Linked DNA regions of Struthio camelus. The protein of the gene in region 2 binds, or shares a complex with, the protein of the main gene of each other region. Links are inferred from orthologs where the notes say so. Each region holds a gene or a part of one and is shown on either strand. Other genes may lie near its edges.

Region 1 (6,956 bases), on a different chromosome or scaffold from region 2:
AGGAGCGGGACCATGAGAACCATGAGAAGTATTAATATGCTATGTTACAATATATGAAGAAAAAATGAGCATAGCATCTGAGTTATTTAAAATAATTAAATTGAGTATTCTGATTAAAATTTGTAGATTTGAGAAGTTCCTGAAATAAAGAGCTAAAAAGGGAAATGGAGTTGATTCAGAAAAACAGCTACTGATCTTAAATCACTCCGAAGCATTTCAATAGCTTGCACGCTTCATGAGTTCTGAAAATCAAATGCTGAGTTTATTACAAAAGAGTCACACCTACAACGACTACTTTGCATTGACTTACACATCAACACTGTGAATGACTCCACAGTGTAACAAGTAACATGCGCATACATCTGGATAAGACTGGACATCTCAAAGTTTACCACAACCCTGCCTGGACTAGGATCAAAATGAGTACTTATGCTTTTTACAGTAGCATGGAGGTAAGAGCCTCAGTATATTAGGTAAGACAGAAACACGCATAGATACCTTGCCTCTGTGTCAAGGAACTCCTCGGGGAGAGGACAGTATAATTGTCAGGATCAACGCCTACAGGGATTTTATTCCCTTTGCACGTCTTGTTAGCAAAACAGGTTACAAAAATAAGGACTAGAGTTTACACAGAGGCTATCTAAGAACTGTTCACATAATTAACACTGTGGAAGTAATTACTCTTAAAGATTGTTAAATATATTCACTCCTCTGCCAAGCCTGGACAAGTTTGGCCAAAATCTATGGAAGGGTACGAGCCAATATATTGACCATGGTGCACAGCCAGATTAAAAGAAACTCTCTGCTTTGCAAAAGTAAAATTCTTGGAGAAGAGAAATCTTCAAGCTTGTTACAAGTATACGAAGGCTCTTCAGTTATATTTCACTAAATCATAATTCCCAGAAGTAGCACTTCAGAGAGAGTACTTTTAGGAGTGATATCACTCCGTAAACTCGCATGTTTTTGTTTTTCCTTTTTTTTTCTGATGCGCTACTTGGCATGAAATGTTTCTAGGATCAATACTCAAGCACCTTAGTGAAAAAGATAATGGTGGGCCTAACTGAAGTACCTGTAGGCTATCTACTTGATGATTCACATATTCACATTAAGCTTCTCTTTCTCACTGTGAGTACACTCTAAAGCAGCAAGATTTTACAATATTGATTTTTTAGAAATCACGTTAATGGAGCAAAAACTCAGATCAGAATAATTGTCTTTCAATGCACTACATACAAAGGAATTAACTGAATATTATTATTCAGATAAAGGGATCTTTTGTTTCCATAATCTTACTTCTTCCACATCCAAGGTTTATGTATGACTGGAACATATACATACGCAGAAGATGAGATTCTTGTTTTGCCTAACTTGACTTTGGTTTAGAAAACTGAAAATTATTCCCTGAACCGAAAAGCTGCATTATCACTGTCTTGAGAAGTGGTCCTTTTTTGGTGTAGGCATTCAGAAACCAATTAAATAGAACAGAATATAAGTACCTTACCTGAAACATAAAAAGTGCAAGAATTAGCAACTATCCTTCCCCTCTAGAGAGAGAGTCTTTATCTAGTTAAAAGGAGGGGTGAGATTCAACTTTATGATCGCTATTTGACATTTCGCCACAGCAGAGAGGCACCATATGATTTCACAGTTGCCCATTCTGTTCTTAGGGCTGAAAAGAGACAAGAAAGGAGGTATTTGCAGGTCAGAAATTAGTTCCACCGCCGCTGTCTCTGGAGAAGTTGGCAAAGCAAATGGCCCTACTGAAAGGTCTGCTCCACACTTAGAAACTGCAGACAAATTCACATCCAAAGAGATACTTTTTCTTTTTAACTTAACCTAGTCTCCATTTCAGTGCCTGAATTTTGTTCCGCTCTTCGCAATCCTCAGTAAGTAAAGATCAATTAGCGAGTCTTTTGACAGACTGACACCGTTTTCCTGTGGCAATCAAGCACTTCTGTGATGAAACCAGACCACTTTCTCCAAAGAAAATAGAGGATTAGAGATAGCTTTGGCAGCAGCAATAAAACTGCCACCCCGAAAGGAAAAAAAATCCAAATCTCTGTCCTAACAAGAACAAGTATGTTTGTAATTTAAAACGCACACAATCATATTTTACCACCCTTTTACCGGGTTTAAAAATAGCTCCCTAAGTCTGTGTAGCCAACTATTGCAAACTCGGAGATATTATGCAACATTCATATATTAAACAGGATCCATCTTTCAAAATATAAAGTCTTCACCAAGCCTGCTACCACCTACTCCCTGTCACCCTCCGTACGTCCAGCCCGCATGCAGCGCACACGGCCCGAGCTGGTACAATTTCAGAGGACTCTCACAGCACCCTTTGCCCGGTGCTGCCGCAGCTGGGCTCCGCAGGGCACCGGGCACCGGCACCCTCCGCAAAGCGCGGTGCCGCGACCGGCGCGCACGGCCTGCCCCTCTCCGCCAGGCTCCTGCCCGTGCAACAGGTGAGCAGGGCGCAGCAGAGCGCGGGGAGCATCACGGCCGGACACAGCAGGTTACCGGGGGAGGGAAAAATAACCGCAGCCCGCAACAAATGCACGGAGGAGCGAGCGCCTCAACAGCAACGCTTTCTTATCTAGGTACGCCCTGGGTAACTGAAAGGCTACTCGCTCTGCAAAGCCCCTGTGGCACAGAGCACCCCACTGTGTGCGGTAATTAAACGGTCGGGCTCTCCAGAAGAGCTGTCAAACTTTTCTGACGGCGGGGAGCTGAAGTGGAAGGACAGACAGCTCTGGCAGCCCGGTCGCTCCCTTCCCCATTTGCTCCGGCGGCAGCTCAGGCACCCCCGGGCCGCTGCACCCCCGCCAAGCCCGCCCGGCCCGGCCGAGCGCCGCCGCCGGCCCCCGCCCCCGCCCCTGCCCCGGCCCCGCTGCCCGCCGCCCGCCGCCCGCCGCCGCCCGGGGCCCGGCCCGGCCGCGGGGTCCGCCGCCGCCGCGGTACCTGCGCCGCCGCCGCTGCGGGCAGGGGGTTGTCCAGCAGCTCCATCTGCACCTCCTGCGCCGCGGCGGGAGGCGATTTGGACATGTCGCTCTGGACCATCGGAGACGAGCGCGGGGCAGCTCTGGCGCCGGGCCCTGGGCGGGCAGCGCCGGGCGGGCCGGGCCGGGCCGGGGCGGCGGCGCCCCTCAGCGCCCGGCCATGCGGGCGGCGGGGACGGAGCGCGGGCGGCGGCGGCGGCGGCGGCGGCGGGGACGGAGCGCGGGCGGCGGCGGCGGCGGCGGCGGCGGCGGCGGCGGCGGCGGCGGCGGCGCGGCTCGGCTCGGCTCGGCCCTGCCTGCTGCCGGCGGGGAGCGCGCAGCGCCGGGGGACGGGGCGCCGCCGCCGCCGCCGGGCGCAGGGGGAGGGCAGGGGGCGGCGCGTGGGGAAGAGGGAAAGTGACAGCGAGCATCGCCCCCCCCCCCGCCCCGAGGCACCGGGCGGCGGGCGCGGGGCGGCGCCTCCCTCCCTCCCTCGCCGGCCGGGCGGGGGCTGCGCGGCCGCTGCGCCGCGGGCAGGGCGAGGGCTGGGCGCAGGCCGCGGGCGCGGAGCTGCGCCGGGGCCTGGCGGCGGCGGCCCCGCGGAGGGCTCGGTGGAGGGGGCGGTGCGCGAAGGGCAGGGGAGGGTCGGGGGGTCTGAGCGGTGCCGGGGCCCCGGCCGGGAAGGGGGGCTGGGGCGGAGGGAGCGAGCCCGCTCCCCGCCTGCCGTCAGAGAAGTTGCTATTTACAGCTAGCATTGCCCTCGAGCGAGGCAGCGAGGCAGCGGCAGGGGCGGAGGGGCGCGCGGCTGCCGCTGCCCGCCGGCTCGGCCCGGGCGCGGGGCCCCGCCGGAGCGGCGCCGCCCCGGCCGGCTGCGGCGGGGAGAGCCGAGGGGACGTGCCGCTGCCCCGGCCGCCCCGCACAGGTGGGCGCTCCCGGTCCCTAGCCAGGACGTCGCGTGTCTCAGCTCGTGTCGAAGCCGAAGGCAGGCGCGGGATACGTTTGCTGTTAGGGAACAAATCGGCGCTTTTCAGACGGGAAGCTCTGTCCAATTGATACGGTTTCTTCCGGTACTTCTTGGAGAGTCCCGTAGGCACATGAGGCAGGGCTGAGTAATTCCTAGCTAGCAGGTGAGATAAAGCCTACTATCTATATTTATAAAACCTGCAGCAGCACAATTTTAATCCGGTTATCATGTACCCCACAGGAGACTTTTGAAAGGTCTGTTCAAATCCTGACCCAGGAAAAACAGCCCCCACCCCTGAGAAGATCTACCGTTCATTTCTCAGAAGCAACGCTCACCTGGCATGATACAGCCTACAGCCTCTGACCGCATAAGCACTCGATGGACCAAGATTTGTAGTCAGACTAGATTTTATAGAGATAGACTTGTTACCTCTTGTTGTCCTCTTCAGATTGGACCTAGCGATGCTGTAGACAACAAGGGAGAGAAACTTGTGTTTTCCAGATCACTTTGTGATTGTTTGTGAGATCTTTTATCACTTCATGTTACGAAGAACGACAAATCGCTGCATAAACTCTGGGCAGCCAGATATGTCTGCATACTTCCAGTCACAACAAAAACTAACAGGAGCACAATAGTTGCATATAGAAAAAGGAGACAACGTAGAGACAACAAACCAAAAACAGAAAAGCCAGTTCAGCTTCAAGAAATGCTTTCAACTTTTCTCCTGATTGCGTGCTTGATTTACCTCCAGTTTTTCATAATGGCTGCTGAATGTTCTCACTTAATTAGCTTAGCCCTATGGAATTACCACATGGTCCATATGAATGGTGAACATGTCCTGCAGAAACTTTCTGCTTTTTGGAAGGAATTGGCTTTCCCTGCAAGCAGATGTGCTCTGAGGTTTGAAGAAGCTTGAGAACTTTCACTTGTCCAAAAAACTCAACTTTTTTTTATTTTGAAAAGTTGTCATGTTATTCTTCAAAAATCATTTCTAGAATTTTACCCAAGTTGTTGTCTACGGCACAAGAGAACCTTAATTTAAGCAAAAAGAATGTTATTTTACATGCTTCCATTTCCTTAAAATAGTTCAGTAGAGATGCTAAAGAACCTTCAAACTGGATACTATATCTTGGAATGCTTCCAAATGTTCTCTTAATGATTGTAATTAAAAACGCATTTTCTCCTTACATGGTTGAGGGGAAGAATACATCCTGTGCCCTCTAATGCAGGCCTTGAAGTAGTTATTTATATCTTTGTCACTTCCAGATTAGATCGTTTTAATGGAGTTACTGTTTGTGACCATCATAATAATTAAGGAAGTTTAATGCGTAAGTGAGGTTTCACAACAGACCTTAACACAACATTCCTGTTTCTTTTAAGATTGCTAAGGGGGTAGGGGGTGAGGAGCATTCAAAGAGGTTAGCTTTGACTTCCAACACCTTAATATCTGTGGAACTATTTGTTCTTTTATTCTAAGACATTCTCCAGGGAAGATTCCCTGATCTTGGCATATTGTCTTCCACCATGATTCAGTATAGTCTTGATTTGGCAGGTTTTAAGGCATCCTTCAAAGGCTGTCTATGCTATCTCACACATAGGAGAGAATTAGAAAAGACTGGTAGCTATTTATTCATGTAACAGTGGTCCTTCATACTGCCTTCTGATTTTTTCGTTGTGTAGGGAATATATAACTAACATTAGATTTTTTTCTTTTTAAGTATTCTATTCTTCCTTAAGAGTAGTAGAGATCATTTTGGAGCATTACAGGCTCTGAAACCATGAATTGTGCATGTGTGTTGAAAGGATATTTCTACTCTCTCATAAATTAAGAGCTTGAATATATCAGATGAAATTCATTTTTCCTTCGCTAAGTCCTATATCCATTCTGATTACTTTTTCTTCTTTTCTTTCCTCTATAAAAAAAAGAAAGGTAGTGATTTTGCTTGTTTATATACCCACATACAGGGGCTTTAGAAAGCAGGGAACCAGGAAAGAAGCTTTTAAGGCACAAATGAACAAGAGGAAGCTCACTGCCTATAGAAATCCCTAGTTACATATAGAGAACTGTGGTTTATAGTTTTCCCCTAAAAAACAAAAATCCTCAAACACTCAAATCACCTACAGATTTCTAAGTTTATTTTATTTTCATTCTTGATCAAAAATATGCTACCTGGCTTTTCTTTAGCAACAATTATTATTCATTGCTTTGATATAATGAGTGGCTAGGACATTTATCTAGGCAAATAATTTTAAGTATCTTACTCTGTTCTACTCCTTGGGTTTAGCAGTTGGGCAGAGTTCTAAAACCTTGAACTGTGCAGTGCGAAATCCTTCAGCTGAACACGTATACATGCAGGCATCCCCCCGCATGCTGTTTTTGGCCACATCTACTCCAGGAGAAAGGTCAGTGTGTAAAAACAATATGCACAGATTCCAAATTACTGGTTCTTTCTCAAGGGGAAAACAACCTGCTCTGCCTAACCACTTCTCAGCAGAAAACCACTGTGCTGCATTTTTTACACTTTTATCTGCAACGGAGAAGTGCTGTGCATGCTTATTTGGACTTTTCCAAACATGTAAATGTTAGAGGACTGACATAAAGAAAGATAAGCTCTTTTTTCCAAACAAAAAATAAAAACAAACAAAAACTAAAAAACCCTTAGGCTGACAGAGAAGATAGGCTGTTTGGGTGCCAAAATTGCTTTTTTGTTGTTTGAGAGATTAGATATTCTTCTAGAGCGAGGAGCACTGTATTGCATTGCATGCTTAATTGCCTTACCCCAAATACAGGAATGTCTATGTCCAGCACGGTGTTCTAGCGCACACACGCAGAGTCAGTGCAGGATTGATTTAGTCTATGACCATGACCTGAGCATGCAAAAATAGGCCTAGGATATTGGACTGATATTTGTGAAAGTAAAGCTAAAAATTAAACACTTGCATTAATATAAGCATGTGAGCTTACAATGATTGCTGCAAAACTGCTAAAATACTCGTGATTGAGCATATGC
Region 2 (7,804 bases):
CTCTCAGTTTAACTAACGCTTTCCAGTATACTTCAGTACACTTTTGTTTTTTCTTTTAAATAAGCTACCATTATTTTGGCTCATTTGCCATAGAGACTCCTCAGTATGAGGCTATTCAGGCAGTCTACTAAGTGGTTAACTGAGGGCTGACATGTGCAGAAAGCAACTACAGGCAGAGGCCTAGTCATGCCACTCACATTTCAAGAAAGAGACATAAAATTTTTTCTTGCGTTGGTAGTACCTGGAACATCCACCCTGCTACCAGCAGCTGAGAAGGATGCAGAAGTGAGGCACCGATTATCCTGAACCGATCCTCCCTCCACACATGTGAAGGGCAGACCCGCAGCACAGCCCTAGCCTTGCCTTCTCCTCGTCTTTTTAGCCTCTTTCAGCTGAGCCCCCGCACCCGCTTTAATTACCCCCTTCCCCATCGTGATTGGTTTGCTCTCACCTCCTTGCCACCAGCTTTTCTTGGCTACTGATCAATTTAACCTTTCAAGCGCTCTCTGTTTACACAAAATAAAAATAGATTGTAAATACATGACAGCCCGAGCACTACCAGGGAACACAACTTTCTTCCATCTGGCTCATTCTCTGTTTGCTTTACGAGTTGCTCTTTCACCTGGGAGTCCTGACAATCCGCATCAAGAGACAGATGCAAAACTGCTCCTCCAATTATATAATCACTGCAGCTGATAAGCAGGGAGCTGGCTGTAGGTTGCCATAGCGTTGGCATATCGCTATGGAGGCTGAGCTCCTCGTCCCCCTTCGTGGCGCTGGCCGCGGAGCAGCAGCTCGCCCGCTGGCATGTGCCGCGGGCTCGGCCCTGCTCGCAGCCCGCGCAGCGCTCCGCTCCGCTCCGCACCGCCCCGGGGGCCGCTTCCTCTGCTCTCCCACCTCACCGCCACAGGGCGCCTGGAGGGTGCTGCTCTTTCTATTTAATCGTATTTAACTGGAAGGGGTGGGGGGTGGGCCGACCGCTGAAACCCCTCCGCTATGAAGAGCTGCTGCAGCGATAACGCCCGTCCCCGGCTGCCGCCCCTGCCGGGGCTGGCCCGGGAGAGGGCACCTGGGCAGCTCAGCGGGCCGGGCTGGGGGTCCCCGCCGCCCGGGCGCCCCCGCACCAAACCCAGCTGTTAAATCGCCGCCGCCGATCGCCGTCCGGACAAGTCAGCCCGGGCAGCGGAGGTGCGAGCACGTACCGCGAAACGGGGCGGGGGGGCTGCCCTAGGGGGACGGCAGGGGAAACAAGTTGGCCACAAACGGGGGGGGGGGGTTCTGCTGAGAAAGACCCCCCCCCCCCGGCAGAGCGCTGCCGCTGGAGCACTGCTCCTCTCTCGCCGAGGGAAGGAAATGGCTCTGCCTGCTCTGCAATACCGCTGTGCGCGCTCAGGGCTGGTCGGGAAGGGAGGGGAGGGGGTGACAACATGCAGGTAACAGGATAAAAATAACTTCAGGAACAGCAGATCGGGGTTGAGCGGGGAAGGGGGGGGCGAGGGCACACTTCTGGAGTTTGGACAAACAAAGTTTTACTACAGGGAATAGCTGGGTACATTTGCTAATGCTGAGGAGCAGCAGCACGGCTGGGTATCCATGATGCGGGCGATCCCGAAAGGAGCTAGTCGAGAAATCACTGCCCCAAGTAAAGCCTAACTTTAATTTTCATACAGACACTCACCGGTGTCTGTCATTCTGTCTCCGTATGTGCGTGTGTATGTTGTGTGTGTGTAAGTAGATAATTCCCCTTCCCCTCCCCTTTCGTGCGAGAGATTAGAAATAGCGTAAGAGAAGGGTAGGGCTCCTCTCCCGGTGTCTTAGGAAGCCGTACTGAGATGGGGGCTAGGAGGATCGGGACGACATTAATTGGTAAAGATCCCCTAATCCCGGCTGCACTGCGAGTTAAATCTGCCCCCGACACGTAAAAGCGAGCTGCCCCGCGGCTTCACTTAGCCTCCGTCCACACTGCACAGCCCCTGCCCCGGGCGTCCCCTCTCGCCCGTCTGCTTCAGAAGAAGGTGACGGCGACTTAAGCAACTTTTCTCTGCCTGGGGTTTCATACGAAGCACACGCTCCCCGAAGGGCTGAGGGGCTCTCTCCCTGCAGTACACCCGTTACTGATGGTATCTATACGCTCCGAATGGAAACTGGTGTCAAAGCCTGTCCTCTCCCCCGGCCCCTGCGCCTGCCGCTGGCTGTGGCAGCAGCGGGAGCAGCTGAACTGCACCGAGAGACTACAGACAATGGGGACGGGAGAGAATGGTTGCTAGAGGCTTTGAGGTAAATCTCAAGCTTACCTTGATGGTTTTCTTCTGGAATGTACATCCTCTTGTTTTCATTGACCATTTAAAACGAGTCCAGATTAATCCCTCCGCAAATCGGCTTGGTAAAATTCAAGGAAGAATGGAGCTGCAGAATTCCCTCTTTTATTATTACCTGATTCCCATTATTGCATCAAACACCAAAAACTGATCCTTTCCACTACTGCCTCCTTTAGTGAAATTGCAATGCATCCTCAGTACATCCGGGCCCCTTCCAAGAATTTAGCACAGCACCTCTGGCTGTTAAACCATAAAAAAGAACAGGAAGGGGGGAAATGAGAGAGGGGGAAAAAAAAAAGGAAAGAAAAAGCATCCAGGACAAACCTCTGAGGGTTAAATGTCTTTTTTAAAATCCACCAACTACAAGAGTAAGAAAAGGAGGAAAAAAAAAAAAAAAAAAAAAAAGATGTTCAAACGCTGCTGCTCCTCCTCTTCAAAGCCATTCTGAGCGCGTTGTGTTGGCAGGGAGCTGTTTCTGCAGAGGAAGAGAGAGCACAGTCCCAGCCCCTTACTCCCTCCCCTCCCTCAGCACGCTCGCTCCCTTCTCTCTGCCTCTCGCAGACAGACAGACACCCTGAACACTTCCAGATGTTCCAGCTGCGACGGCAGCACGCAGCCCCCCGCGCACAGCGCTGGGAGCCGGCTGACTTGATCTGAAAGTTTAACACGCTCCCTGCCTTCACTGCGCCTGCTGAAGCCTTTCTACAGACATGACGTCAAGGAGGCAAGCCGGAGCCGGCTGCCTGGGCGAGTGGGGGGACCGGCGAGGGGAGCGGCGGCGGGGCCGGGCCGGGCCGGGCCGGGCCGGGCGGCGGCACCGCACCGCGCCGCGCCTCCCGGGTCGCCCGCGGCAATGGGCGCCGCCGGCCTCCAGCCCCTCTTCGACGCGATTTCTCAACGTTGTGGGCTCTGCCCTGCGGTTCCACTACGGAATGCAATTGTGAGCTGAATTTAAAGGAGGACGATGTAATTTGCTGAAATATTACCGCCCGCATCATGTGCGAGCGCTTAACGAGACGGCAGAATGAGCTGTGATTGTGTTTGATCCATTGCGAGCAGGAGTCCACACGGCACAAATGCATGCACGGTACACACAGAGCGGAAGAGAGAGAGCTACCCAGGGATAAGTTGCATAGACAAGAGGATGCACAGATGTTTAAACAGATTAATCAAGCTAGGATTTGCAAAATCCTTGGTGGAAACACCAAAGCGTTCTGCTGGTATTCCACCACTTGCCTTAATTATCCCTGTCGTTTGGCCCACTGTAATTGAAGCCTCCACAGAGAGCAAAAATGACTTCTTTAAAACGAAATGTGAACTGAATGCAGTACATGCTAAATGTATCTGGACTCTCAGAGCTGCCATGTTAAACAAGAGATGCAGAGTTCAAAAATACCCCTCCAGAACCGCTGTAGAAACTGTAACAATCTGAGAAACTGAAACACTGAGTTACAGGTGGGTAAATGTGCAGAATATTGTGTCCTCTGTGCAAACCTATAGGTGTCAATTCTCATGGTAACAGGGTATCCATTTAACATCACGTGTATGCAATACTATTTATGGAAACTAAAGTATAGTGGTTCTTTCTTTTCTCATGGTTTTTCATGTAACCTAGAAAGACAGGGTATTTCTATCCAAATATTTTAAAGTTGGTAACACACTCTGTGAAGGAATCACTTTAGAAGGAACTTCGTGCCTTCTCTACAAATGGATTTCAGCGGGATTTATCAAATATCTGTCTCCCTTTGAGGCTTTTCTTCCCACCACTTTACCTGAGCTGTCTCTCAGGTAAAGCTCAGAATATAATAGAAAACAGCAACACCTAACAGATTTAGGCAAAAAAGCAAGAAAATATACCATCCACTTGGAACTACAAGAGAAACTGGACTAGATGTAAAGCACTTACCAAAATCTGGATGCAGCCAATGCACTAGCCCTAAGACAGGTCGTTTTGGTTTCTAATAACCACTGATGATCATAACTTCTGCTTTAGCTGCTATCCAAAAGGTAGTTCACCAACAACATATTGCCATTGACAGCATGTAGAGATGCAGCTTTATTTCTGAGTCAGGAGGAAGAGGTCCTCCGAGCAACTAAAATACTCTGTCCTCTATTGCCTAGTTTTTCCTCTAATAACGTCACATGCACTTACCCTATTTAACTTATGAGATCAAGCAAGATCATAGCTAGAAATGGAATAGCAATATATTAGCTTTCCTTTTCAATTCCAGTTGTCTCTTTCTTGTAAAAATGAAAAACCCACTCTTCCCTTCATCATTGTAAAAGGACTAAACAGTAAAGTATCCTCTTCCTAAATTTGTTGTGTAAACAAGCATTTTATTTTTCTCCTCATGAACACAAATTCCTACCAGTTTGGATTGTGGTAATTCCATTTTTTTCAAGCCATGAGTCAACCAAGAGTTGTATGATTCACCCTTTCACAGACATAATCTCCTAGGAAGTGATTAAGTGCATGCTGATTGCTCTTGCACAGAAATCAACCACCACTGGGGCACCTGCAAACATTTCTTTTGCCCTTACTGGATCACATTCTTAGCTAGCTAAGGGCTCGTATACTATATTAGTTAAACAGCATCCACATAGCCTTGCTTTATGCCAGCTCACATACGTATGCAGCCACATACGCAAGCTGTCCCTGCCACCTACAAATCTTCTTCTCCATTCTTCATCCCTCTCTCTTTGCCAGGCTCCCACTGTGGGACACAATTTGGGCCAATTACCAAAAATCAAACACAGAAGAAAAATAGAACAAGAAACAAGAATATTAGCTGGCATTAATTTCTTTAGCATCAATAAAATTGTATTATAACTTGAGCTTTCCTTATTCAGCATTTCTGATGCAAATAATTTTCTATAAAAAGAAGTGTAAAGAAACTGACTGCAACATTCAGATGGAGACATCTGCTAATGAAGGACAGTCAGGTGACATAAGAGTGAGCATCATGCCTTCCCCTAAAACATTTGTATTGTCAAAGTGCACTGAGAAAATGTAGTTCATGAGAATAGGTTTAGTAAAAAAAGTTGCATTTGAAGTAAAAGCACTTGTAAGATTTTTCTTAATACTGGTGATTGCTTAAATTCACATTTAATAACAGATCTCTCGCTCAGTAGAGCACCCAAGGTGTTGCCCTCCTTAGAAAATGAGAAAATTCAATTGCTCTAAAATACATTCATTTTCTTTCTATTTTTCCTAGAGATAGTGAAGAAGGGATTTTGTTAGGGATTCCAGATGAGCAGTTGGAGACTTCAGAGCGGCCAAGAGCCCTTCTCTGAACGGCCCTTGGCTCCTGAGCAGTTTGATCACGTAAGTTCTGGGCCAGGACTCCAAAGGCAAAGCGTACAGCCTGAGGGAATTAGAAGACTCTCTATTATTTTTGAATGACTGATGACTGTCTGATGGTTTGAAAAGCCTTTAGGCCTTCTGAAGAGGAACACATTTTGCTTTCTTCAAATGGAGCTAGATAACTACACATGCAGCCCAAAGATGAGTTTACAGGTGAGCAAAAGATCTTAAAAGATTTATGAAAGAATTATTCTTTCAATACAAGAACCATCAGAAAGTTTGTTGTCCCTTTCTGATGTGGTAGCCAACAGCTTTAAAGGTAAAATGGATGGCCTCACGATCAGGACACTAGGGTAAGTCTCAGACCAGCCTTGAATATATCCTCAATCATAGACTTTCTTTAAGCAGATGACTATAGATCGGACAAATGATCCAACATTTGTTCAGCCTTAAGCTAGCTGTAAAGTGGAGATAATAGTTTTCCACCTCAGAGGAATGCTAGGAGGAGAAAAGTAGTTCTGCAACTGCTCTGAGAACAATAGTAATGGGAGCCATATAAAGTACCAAGACAGAGATTCTGAGAAACAGCTATTTAAAGTTACAAAATGTCAAGGATGATTTGTAGAGTACATAATTTAAACATGCAACTGTGCATTCTGCGTGTCAGGAATGTCTTTGTTCTGCATACAACGTACTACTCCTTCCCTGTTACCCAGCCATATAGAGAGCATACTGGGCACAACAGCTTCTTCAAAATCCAGTTATCAGAACCAGCATCTTCCTTCAAAACAGAAATCACCAAAGCGGTTGCGGAGCAGAGTGTTCCCTCCATTCAAAAAGGAAGAGATATCGCAATGCTGATTTTAAAGATGGGGCTAGAACGTAATAGGACGAGAACAAACAAGAACATACAGTAACTCTGCATTGAACTATTTTTATAATTTATAAAATTATTTGAAGTGCCTTTTTAAGCACTCTCACTTCTTTTTACACGAGCTAGGTTGTTCATTGGGCCTACTGCATAAATTATCAAACTATCTAATTTCCATAGATTATATTCACACTGTTTTGGCAGCTATGTCTTTCACTATAAAATACGACGACAAATTATTCAGAAGTGAAAGAGAAATGTATTTATCCCCAGAAACAGTATTAAGGCTCACAATACAAATGCAACTTCTTTCAGGGCCAGCTCAGAGAAACAGTGCCAGAGCTCTTCATTACTTTCCTGAAAGTGATTTTTTCCAGATTTCAGTTTTTGCACCTCCACCAAATAACAGACAAGGCTTTCCATAAGAATCAGCACCTTGTTGCACTGAAAACTAGGTGATTTTTTGTCACTGATTTAAGTAAATGGGATCTAAACACTGCGATTGGTGCATGAAGAACTTGGTCTTTCTTTTTTCAAAGCATTTAAATAATTATTTTCTGTCTAGCGTCTATTTCCTTTAAAATAGTGTTCAAACCTGAATGCAAAAGCTTGATTGGTCCTGGTACATTAAAATAATCATCATGCATGAATAACCCTTATTCATACCCTAATACCCTTAACACAAGTTCCGTCATTTGTGCAGTACTGCTCTGTTGGGCCATATACAGTGTATTGGAAATACTGTTTTTTTCTGGCATTGCATGACTAAAATGTATTTATCTTAAATCAAATATTGGTGATAGCAAACTTTTCTCATATATCAGTACTGTTGTGTTTAGAATTGTTCTCAAAGCTAATTGTGATTTTTCTGAACTTTGTATCACCTAAAAATGTAAATACCATCTTCTCCATTTCACCTTCCTGGTTGTTGCTGAGAAAAAAAAAAGCACAAAAACTGTTCACATCTATAATGAATATAGATTCCTAAAACATGTTCTTTATTTGACAATTTTGTTTCAGCTCTTTAATTTTAATTGGAATGAAAGTAATTGATAGTCCTGTCTAAAGCCATTGAAAGTGTGGTCAGGAAACCGCAGACCTTTCAGACCTACCAGTCAGCTGTAATACAGAGAAGGCAAGAGACCTGGGATGGAAGGGAAAAGCAGGACTGATGACCAGGATTTCTAGGTGCTTTCATTTCTTAAAATCCGTAACAGTGCCAAATGCACACAAAATTTTGAAAATGTATAAAATCAGAACCATGGCTTTTCAAAGTCAACTTCGGAAAGTTAGCCACATATTTCCCTTTGA
Region 3 (7,202 bases), on a different chromosome or scaffold from region 2:
CCCGCAGTAGCTGACATTGGTGCGCACGGCGAAGGCTACCGGCTTGTGCTGGGGGACGCGGGGGTCAGCGCCGACCTGCCGGGCCCCCGGCGGCTGGACCCCCGGCCCCGGGGAGGCCGTGCACGAGGCCGGGCGGACGGGCTCCCGCGTGCCTCCCTCCCGCCCCGCTACCTTGGCCCTCTCGAGCTGCTGCTGGGCCTGGCTCTCCACCTCGCGCCGGGCGCTCTCGCGGTCCTCCTCGAGGGACACGTCGGAGTCCAGGGACGGGCGGCTGGTGTAGGAATCCGCTGAGCCCTGGGGGACGGGGGCTGAGTGTCGGGGGGGCCCCGCGGGAGCCTCCCCCCCCCGCCAGCGCCCAGAGACCGCTGCGGCCGTGCCCTGCGCCCTGCGTCCCTGCAGCGGGGACGGGGGCGGCCGCGCAACGCCCGGGCCTGACCCCAACCCGGTGCCCCCCGGCCCCTCCGGGCACCGCTGCTGCCTGGCAGAGCCCCGGCTCCCTAACGGGGGGGGCCGCGGGCACGGCTGCACCCAGGGCTCGCCGGATGCCCAGGAAACGCCAGGCTCCGGGAAGCAGCAGCCGCCCCCGCTGTGCCGGGGGGGGGCCCGGAGGGCCGGGGCGCGCCACAGCCCCCCAGCTTCCCCCCCCCAGCGGGAAATGAGCCGGCGCCTGCTGCGCCCGGAACAAGCGCAGAAGCTGCAGTGAAATATTTATAGGTGCCTGGATGTATCTGCGAGCCCCCCCCCCACGTCCCCCCTCCCCGGCGATGCTCTGGGCTGCCGTGGGCACGGCGGGCACCGGGACCCCCCCCCCACGGCACGGGGCTCCTCTGCAGGGAGAAGAGCCCCCCCCCCCGCACATCTCTCAGCTTCGCTCGCGTCTCGGGGGGGCCCTGGGCTCCCCCCCACCTTATCGCAGCCCTCCCAGCGTGCCCCCCCCAACATGGCCTCCCTAAAATACCCACCCCCAAGCCGGCATCCTCAATGTAGCCCCCCCCCCGCGGCTGGCCCCGCTGCCCACCGCGCGGTCCCGGGCCGGGTGGGCGGGGGGGGGGCGAGATCGGCGGCGCCGCCCCGGGAACAAAGGGCCAGCGGCGGGGGGGGGGCACCGGAGCCCCCGCCCCGGGCTCGGTCCCGCCGCCGCGCGCAGCCCCCGGTGCGCAGTCGCCGCCCCCCGTTGCACAACCGCCGCCGCGCACAGCCGCCCCCACCGAGTCCCCCCCGCCCCCCCTCCGGGCACAACGGCCCCCCCGGGAACCGCCGCCGCGCCCGGTACCGGCACCGGTACCTCGTTGAGCAGGAAGGTAGCGCTGGAGTCAGAAAACGACATAGACGGGGCGAGCCGAGCCGAGCCGCCCGCGCCCCCCCCCGCCCGGGCCCCGGCACCGGCTCCGGCTCCGGTTCCGGCTGCGGCTCGGGCTCCGGCTGGCCCTGCCCGCTCCGCCGCCGCCCCTCCCCGCCCCTCCCCGCCCCCGCCTCCCGCCGCCCCCCCGGGGCGCACGGAGCCGCCCCCCTTCCCGCGGCTGCCGGGGGGCCCCGGCCCCTCTCCGCTGTCCCCCCCCCCCGCCGCCGCCGCCACCGGGGCTCTTTCTCGCACCGGGGGTCCCGGGCGGCCCCGGCGGGAGGAGGAGGGGGGGGCGCCTGGACCGGGCCCCCGGGGCAATTGAAGGCGGCGGAGGGGTGGGATGGGGGGGCTGCCTCGCCGAGGGTCCCGGGGGGTGGTTGGGGGTGGGAGTGTGTGGGGGGGGGGGTCGGTGGGTACCTCCATGCTCCGGTGCGGCGGCCCCGGTGCTGCCCCGAGGCGGCAGCAGCCCCGTCTGCAGGGCGAGCCCTGCGGCGGGGCCGGAGCCGCTCCCGCCCCCCCGCCGCGCCCCCCCCATCCCGCCCCCGAGGAGGGGGGCAGCGGCGGGCCCCGGGGGAGCGGGCCGGCCCGCCCCGGTACCGCGCGGCGGCCGGGCCCGGGGGGGGGGGGGGGGGGGGGCCGCGCCGGGCCCTCTCCGAGGTGCTGAAGGGGCCGCGCAGCCGGGGCGGGGGCCGGGGGGGGGCCGGGCACAGGGGTGCTCGGAGGGGAGAGGGGGGGCAAGGGGGCGTCGGGGGGGTTGCAAGGGGGTCCTGCAAGGGGTGCATGGGGGTGGCCGGGCCCCCGACTCCTCCCCCCCCCCAGGGCTGCGGGCTGGCCCCGGTACCACCCCCCCCTTACCCGGGGAGGGGGGGGGGCCCGCTCGGCTCGGTGTGAGACGGAGCAGGCGGGCGGGGGCGGCGGGAGCCCCCCCCCTCCCGTGGGGAGGAGGCGGGAAGGGAGACCCAGCCCCCCCCCAACCCGGCCCCCTCCTCAGCTGCCCTGCCTCAGTTTCCCCACGGCCGCCGGGCAGCGGCGCTGCGGAGCGGCCGGACCTCCAACCCCCCCCCCCGCGGGTCCCGGGGCGCCGGCGCCCCCCCCCCGCCGGGCCCCGCCGCCGCAGTGCCGGTACCCGGCGGCCCGGGCCCGGCCCTGACGCAGCACTCGCTATTTTTAGCCGCGGGGAGCGGCTTTGGCGATGCCACCGGCGCCCGGTGCGTGCGCCCAGCCCCAGTGCCCCGGCCGGAGCGGGGGGGGGTGGGGGGGGACCGGAGCGGACCGGACCGGGGGGGCCCGGGCTGGCCTCACCTGCCGCCGGAGGATGCTGGAGGTGGTGTCGGACGAGGTGCTGCCATCGGAGCGCTTGAAGCGGCTCTTGCGCTTCGGGAGCTTGCGGGGGCTCTGCGGGGAGCGGGGTCGGGGGGGGGGGGGAGAAGGGAGCCGTGAGCCCCGGCGGCACCGGACGGCACCGGGCACCGGGCATCCGGCGGGACCGGGCACCGGGCCGCCGCGGGGCTCGGGGGCGGGGGGGGGGGGCGGTCGGCGCCGCTCACCTGGAAGGAGCCGGGTGCTGCGGGCTCCGCCGCTCCGGACATGCCCGGCGGCAGCGACCGGAGCGTCCGGGATCCCGGCGGGGGCCGCCCAGCCCCGGACCGCGGCGCTCCGCCGGGAAGGGCCGCGCCGCCGCCACCGCTGCCGCCGCCGCCGCCGCGCTCCGCCGCGCACGGGGCCGCCGGGGCTTCCCGGCCGTCCCCGCCCCCGCCCTGCCCGCCCCCGCGCCCATCCCCGTGGCGGCCGGCCTGCGCCCCCCGCGGCTGGGCAGCCTCCGGAGGGGACCGGGGACACCCGCCCCGCCGCCCCCGCGGCTGCCGGGCCCGTCCTAGCGGTACCGTCTGCTCGGGCGCCCACGCGTGTCCGCGATGTGGGGGGGGACCGGGGTTGTGGGTGCCCGGGGATGCCGGGCTCTTCTACCCCCCCACCCGCCGTGGGGTATCTGCACCCCCCAGATCCGTGCGTGGGGCAGGTGGGGCCGTGGGGGGGAGCCCGGGGGGGGCCTTGGTGCCCCCCCCGCCACAGTCCCGCTGCCCCCTGCCCTGGGATTGGCTTGCACACGCGTGTACATGCGCACACGTGTGTACACACACACGGATGCATGCCTGCAGTCAAGGCTTTGCGTGCGCACACGCGTGCCCGTGGGCACGCACGCTCACACCCACCCACGGGCACCTCGTGCAGCGCACGCACACGCACACACACACACACACACACACACGTGTGCGCGCACATGCACCCCACGCTCCGTGACCCCGGGGTGCCCACGGAGGAGGCGGCCGGATCCGGCCCGGCCCCGGCGCTGCCGTTGCTGCAGCAACGCGGTTTGCTGCAGGGCTGGATCGATGGAGGGAGCAGCGCTGGGGCCTGCTGCTGCGAGGGGTGACGTGGGCAGGATCCGGCCCCGGGAGCCCCAGCAGGGCTGGGATCCACCATGGGGATCCCCAACAGAGCCGGGATCCATCCCAAGAAGCCCCACCAGGGCCAGGATCCAGCCTGGGAAGCCTCAGCAGGGCCAAGATCCAGCATGGGGATCCCCAGCAGGGCCGGGATCCAGCCCGGGACAGGGCACGAGGGCCAGCAGGGCCCAGCAGCGCCCTCTTGCCCGGCCGCCCCGTGCCTCAGTTTCCCTCTCCGCAGCAGGCGCCGCGGCCGCCGCGCGGTGCCGCCTCCTGGTTAATGTGTGCCGGGGCCTCGCGGCCCGGGGCCGGACCCAGGAGGGAAACGCGCCTGTAATAATTAATCCAGGGAGCTCTGGACTCGGCTGATAAGGCGGGGAGCGGGGCCGGGGCTGGCGCCTTCGGGGCCGTGCGCGGGAGCCCGGCAGGGACGGGCGACGCGGCGGCCTCCAGGTCCCCGCCGGGCGCGTCCCACGCCCTGCCGGCACCCGGAGCCACGCGCCGCCCCGGCCCTCGTCCTGCCCCGGGGCCAACTGGGCGTTCGGGCAGGGGGAAGCGCCGGCCGCCCGGGGGGCTCCCGGCACCCGCGGGTGCCCGGCCCTGGCTGCACCCTGCAGCCCCCCCTGGGCCCGGCGGGGACTTCCCGCACTGGGGACACGGCGGCAGTCGCTGGTAATTAATCATTAATCTCGTCTCCCCGGAGGACGTGGCCTGCATTCCTGCTGCCAGCCGGTGCCGCGCAGGGCCGGGCGCTGCGGCTCCCTCCGCGCGGGGGCCCGGCGGGCTGGCGCCCGGGCCGGGGGGTGCCCCTGGGCTGGGGGGGGGTGCCCCTGAGCCGTGGGGTGTCCCCAGACCGTGGGGTGCCCCGGGCCGTGGGGTGCAAGGCTGGGGCCTGGGTGGGAGCCTCGGCTGGGGAGACCCTGCGTGTTGCACCCATGTGTGTGCTGCTGGGGGGGGGGGTGAGTGTGCAAGGAGGGGGGTGCGCGCCGCAGGAGTGGGCAGGTGTGCACGCGTGGGGGGGGTTGCACGCGCGTGTGCGCGCACACGCGCGTGTTCGGGCAGGTGCAAAAGCGGGTGTATGGGCGTGCGGGGGGGGGGGGCTGCGCGTGCCAGCAGCCCCCTCTCCCCCCCCCCCAACACCGGCCACCCTGTGCGCCCGTGCACGCGCCTGGGCCAGCGCGCTGCGCTGAGCGCCAGGCTGCTTGCGCGCGTGCACGCGCAAAGGCGGGGTGCGCGCGCGCGCGCACACGGAGGGGGAGCGCGTGCAAGGGGCGCGCGCGCGGGTGTGCAAGGGCTGCGCGTGTGCCGGCCGCGGGGGGGGGGGGCGCGCGCGCGCGCGCGCGCGCCGGTGCGCAGTGCCCGGTGCTGCCGGTGCGCCCTTACTCGCCCGCCCGGCCCCGCGCGCGCCCGCCCGCTCGCCCGCCGCCCCCGCGCGCGCGCGCGCGCGCGCCGCCCCCGCCTCCCCCGCCCGCACCGGGCCGCACCGGGCCGCCGCCGCCTGCGCCTTTAAGGCCGCCGGCCGGGAGCGGATCCGGGCGGGAGGGCGGTTACCGGGCCGGGGCGGGCCGGGACCGGGGGCCCGGCCGGGGCGCGCGGGATGGAGCGGCGGGGGCGCGGCGCGGCCGCCGTGTAGCAGCGGGCGGCGGGGCCGGAGCCGGAGCCGGAGCCGGAGGTGAGCGGGGCGGCGGCGGCGGCTGCCCGGGGCCGGCGCTTTCCCAGGCCCCGCGGCGGCGGAGCGGAGCGGAGCGGGCGGCGGCGGTGGGTGCACGGGCAGGGCCCGGCGGGGCTCCGCCGCTCCGGGTCGCCTTCGCTCGCCGCCCGGTTGCCACGTCCCGGCCGGGCCGCGGGTGCCCCGGTGGCCCCGGGGCCGCGGCAGCTCGGCGGAGCCCCTTGGCCGCCGTTCAAGGCAAACAGAGCCGGGAAGCCGGAGGCTGTTGCAGTGGGGCGGCGCGGCGCCCGGCCGGCCGAGGCCGCGGCGGCGAGGTGTCACCCGTGGGCTCGGGCCGTGGGGCGGCGGGCAGAGCCGCGGCGCAGGTGTCCGCGGGGCTGGGCGCCCGCTGCCCCGTGCCGCGCTGGCTTCGGGGTCCGCACGCCTGCCCCGGGGGGCTGCCACCCTCCTGCGGCACCGCCGGCGTGCAGCCCCCGGCGCCGTTTTGCAGCCAGCGGAGCCCCCCAGCTCAGGTCCCCCCCCCCCTTCCCCTCGCCTGCCCGCAGCATGTCGTGGTTCAGCGGCATCCTGGTGCCCAAGGTGGACGAGCGGAAGACGGCATGGGGCGAGCGCAACGGCAAGAAGGGCCAGCGCCCGCGCGCCGCCCTCTGCGGACCCCGCTACATGAGCTGCCTGCAGGACCCTGAGATGGAGCGGCCCGGGGGGCCGGCCCGGACCGCCCCGGCGCTGCGCTGCACCTGGCAGGAGGACCACTACGGCAAGAAAGGGGCGGCCGGCGAGCTGGGGCTCAAGTCGGTGGACGTGGGCTTCGAGGACGGCGAGGCCAAGGGGCCGAAGGAGCCCGGGCAGCGGCTGTCGGCCGGCGAGTGCTGGCGGCGCGTCCTGCAGGTCTTCCGCTCCAAGCGCTTCCAGTCGGCCAAGCTGGAGCGGCTCTACCAGCGCTACTTCTTCCAGATGAACCAGAGCAGCCTCACGGTGCTCATGGGCGTCCTGGTGCTGGTGTGCGGGGTGATGCTGCTCTTCCAGTGCCTGCCCGGCTCGCCGCCGGTGCCCGCGGCCGCCGCGCTGGCCGGCGCCACGGCCCTCTTCCTGCTGCTCATGGTGCTGTGCAGCCGCAGCGCCTTCCCCCAGGACTACATGTGGGTGGTGAGCTACGTGGTGCTGGGGCTGCTGGCCGGGGTGCAGGCGCTGGGCACCCTGGCCGCGGCCCCCCGCAGCGCCTCCGAGGGCGTCTGGTGGAGCGTCTTCTTCATCTACATCACCTACACGCTGCTGCCCGTGCGCATGCGGGCCGCCGTGCTGGCCGGCGCCCTGCTCTCCGCCCTGCACCTGGGCATCTCCTGGCACCGCAACGCCGCCGACCCCTTCCTCTGGAAGCAGGTAGAGGTGGGGCGCGGGGGTCCCGCCGCGGCGGCCGCCCGCCCCGCCGCTCCCGCGCCGGCAGCTCCCCGCAGCTGCAGAGATTTGCAGAATCCTCGTTGCGGCCAAAATTTTTGCCTCTAGAAACTTCTGGAGGCCGGAAGGGTTCCTGCCTTGGAGCCGGCGTGAGGGGGGGTCCCGTGGGCGCTGCGGCTCCCCCAACCCCCAGCCTGGGGAAGGGGGGGGGTAAAGGGGCCCCTTGTCTGGGCCAGGGGCTGCGCACAAGCCCTGCATTGTGGGCCGGCGCGGGGGCGCCCACAAAGCCCCCGTTGTGGGGCTGGCGGAAACCCCCGGGCAGGGCAGCGGGGCCGGGACCCGGTGGCAGCCC

Evidence for each region.
Region 1: CACNA1C (region 2) and CACNB2 share a complex: the UniProt entries of both Homo sapiens proteins name them as parts of the calcium channel complex. The link is inferred for Struthio camelus from reciprocal best matches to the Homo sapiens genes CACNA1C and CACNB2.
Region 3: CACNA1C (region 2) and CACNB3 share a complex: the UniProt entries of both Homo sapiens proteins name them as parts of the calcium channel complex. The link is inferred for Struthio camelus from reciprocal best matches to the Homo sapiens genes CACNA1C and CACNB3.

Annotation. Positions count from the first base shown.
Region 1 is NC_090943.1:23,439,002-23,445,957, forward strand, and holds the start of CACNB2 (voltage-dependent L-type calcium channel subunit beta-2), read right to left. Parts: upstream 3,083-6,956; 5' UTR 3,064-3,082; coding exon 2,965-3,063; intron 1-2,964. UniProt on the Homo sapiens protein: Beta subunit of voltage-dependent calcium channels which contributes to the function of the calcium channel by increasing peak calcium current. Plays a role in shifting voltage dependencies of activation and inactivation of the channel.
Region 2 is NC_090942.1:69,941,628-69,949,431, reverse strand, and holds the start of CACNA1C (voltage-dependent L-type calcium channel subunit alpha-1C), read right to left. Parts: upstream 3,051-7,804; 5' UTR 2,344-3,050; coding exon 2,295-2,343; intron 1-2,294. UniProt on the Homo sapiens protein: Pore-forming, alpha-1C subunit of the voltage-gated calcium channel that gives rise to L-type calcium currents. Mediates influx of calcium ions into the cytoplasm, and thereby triggers calcium release from the sarcoplasm.
Region 3 is NC_090969.1:1,026,779-1,033,980, forward strand, and holds the start of CACNB3 (voltage-dependent L-type calcium channel subunit beta-3), read right to left. Parts: upstream 3,014-7,202; 5' UTR 2,932-3,013; coding exon 2,890-2,931; intron 2,738-2,889; coding exon 2,645-2,737; intron 1,784-2,644; exon of another isoform or gene 1,766-1,783; coding exon of another isoform or gene 1,760-1,765; intron 1,416-1,759; exon of another isoform or gene 1,328-1,415; coding exon of another isoform or gene 1,286-1,327; intron 295-1,285; coding exon 172-294; intron 49-171; coding exon 1-48. Other genes in the region: ADCY6 (adenylate cyclase type 6), read left to right, coding at 6,002-6,835. UniProt on the Homo sapiens protein: Regulatory subunit of the voltage-gated calcium channel that gives rise to L-type calcium currents. Increases CACNA1B peak calcium current and shifts the voltage dependencies of channel activation and inactivation.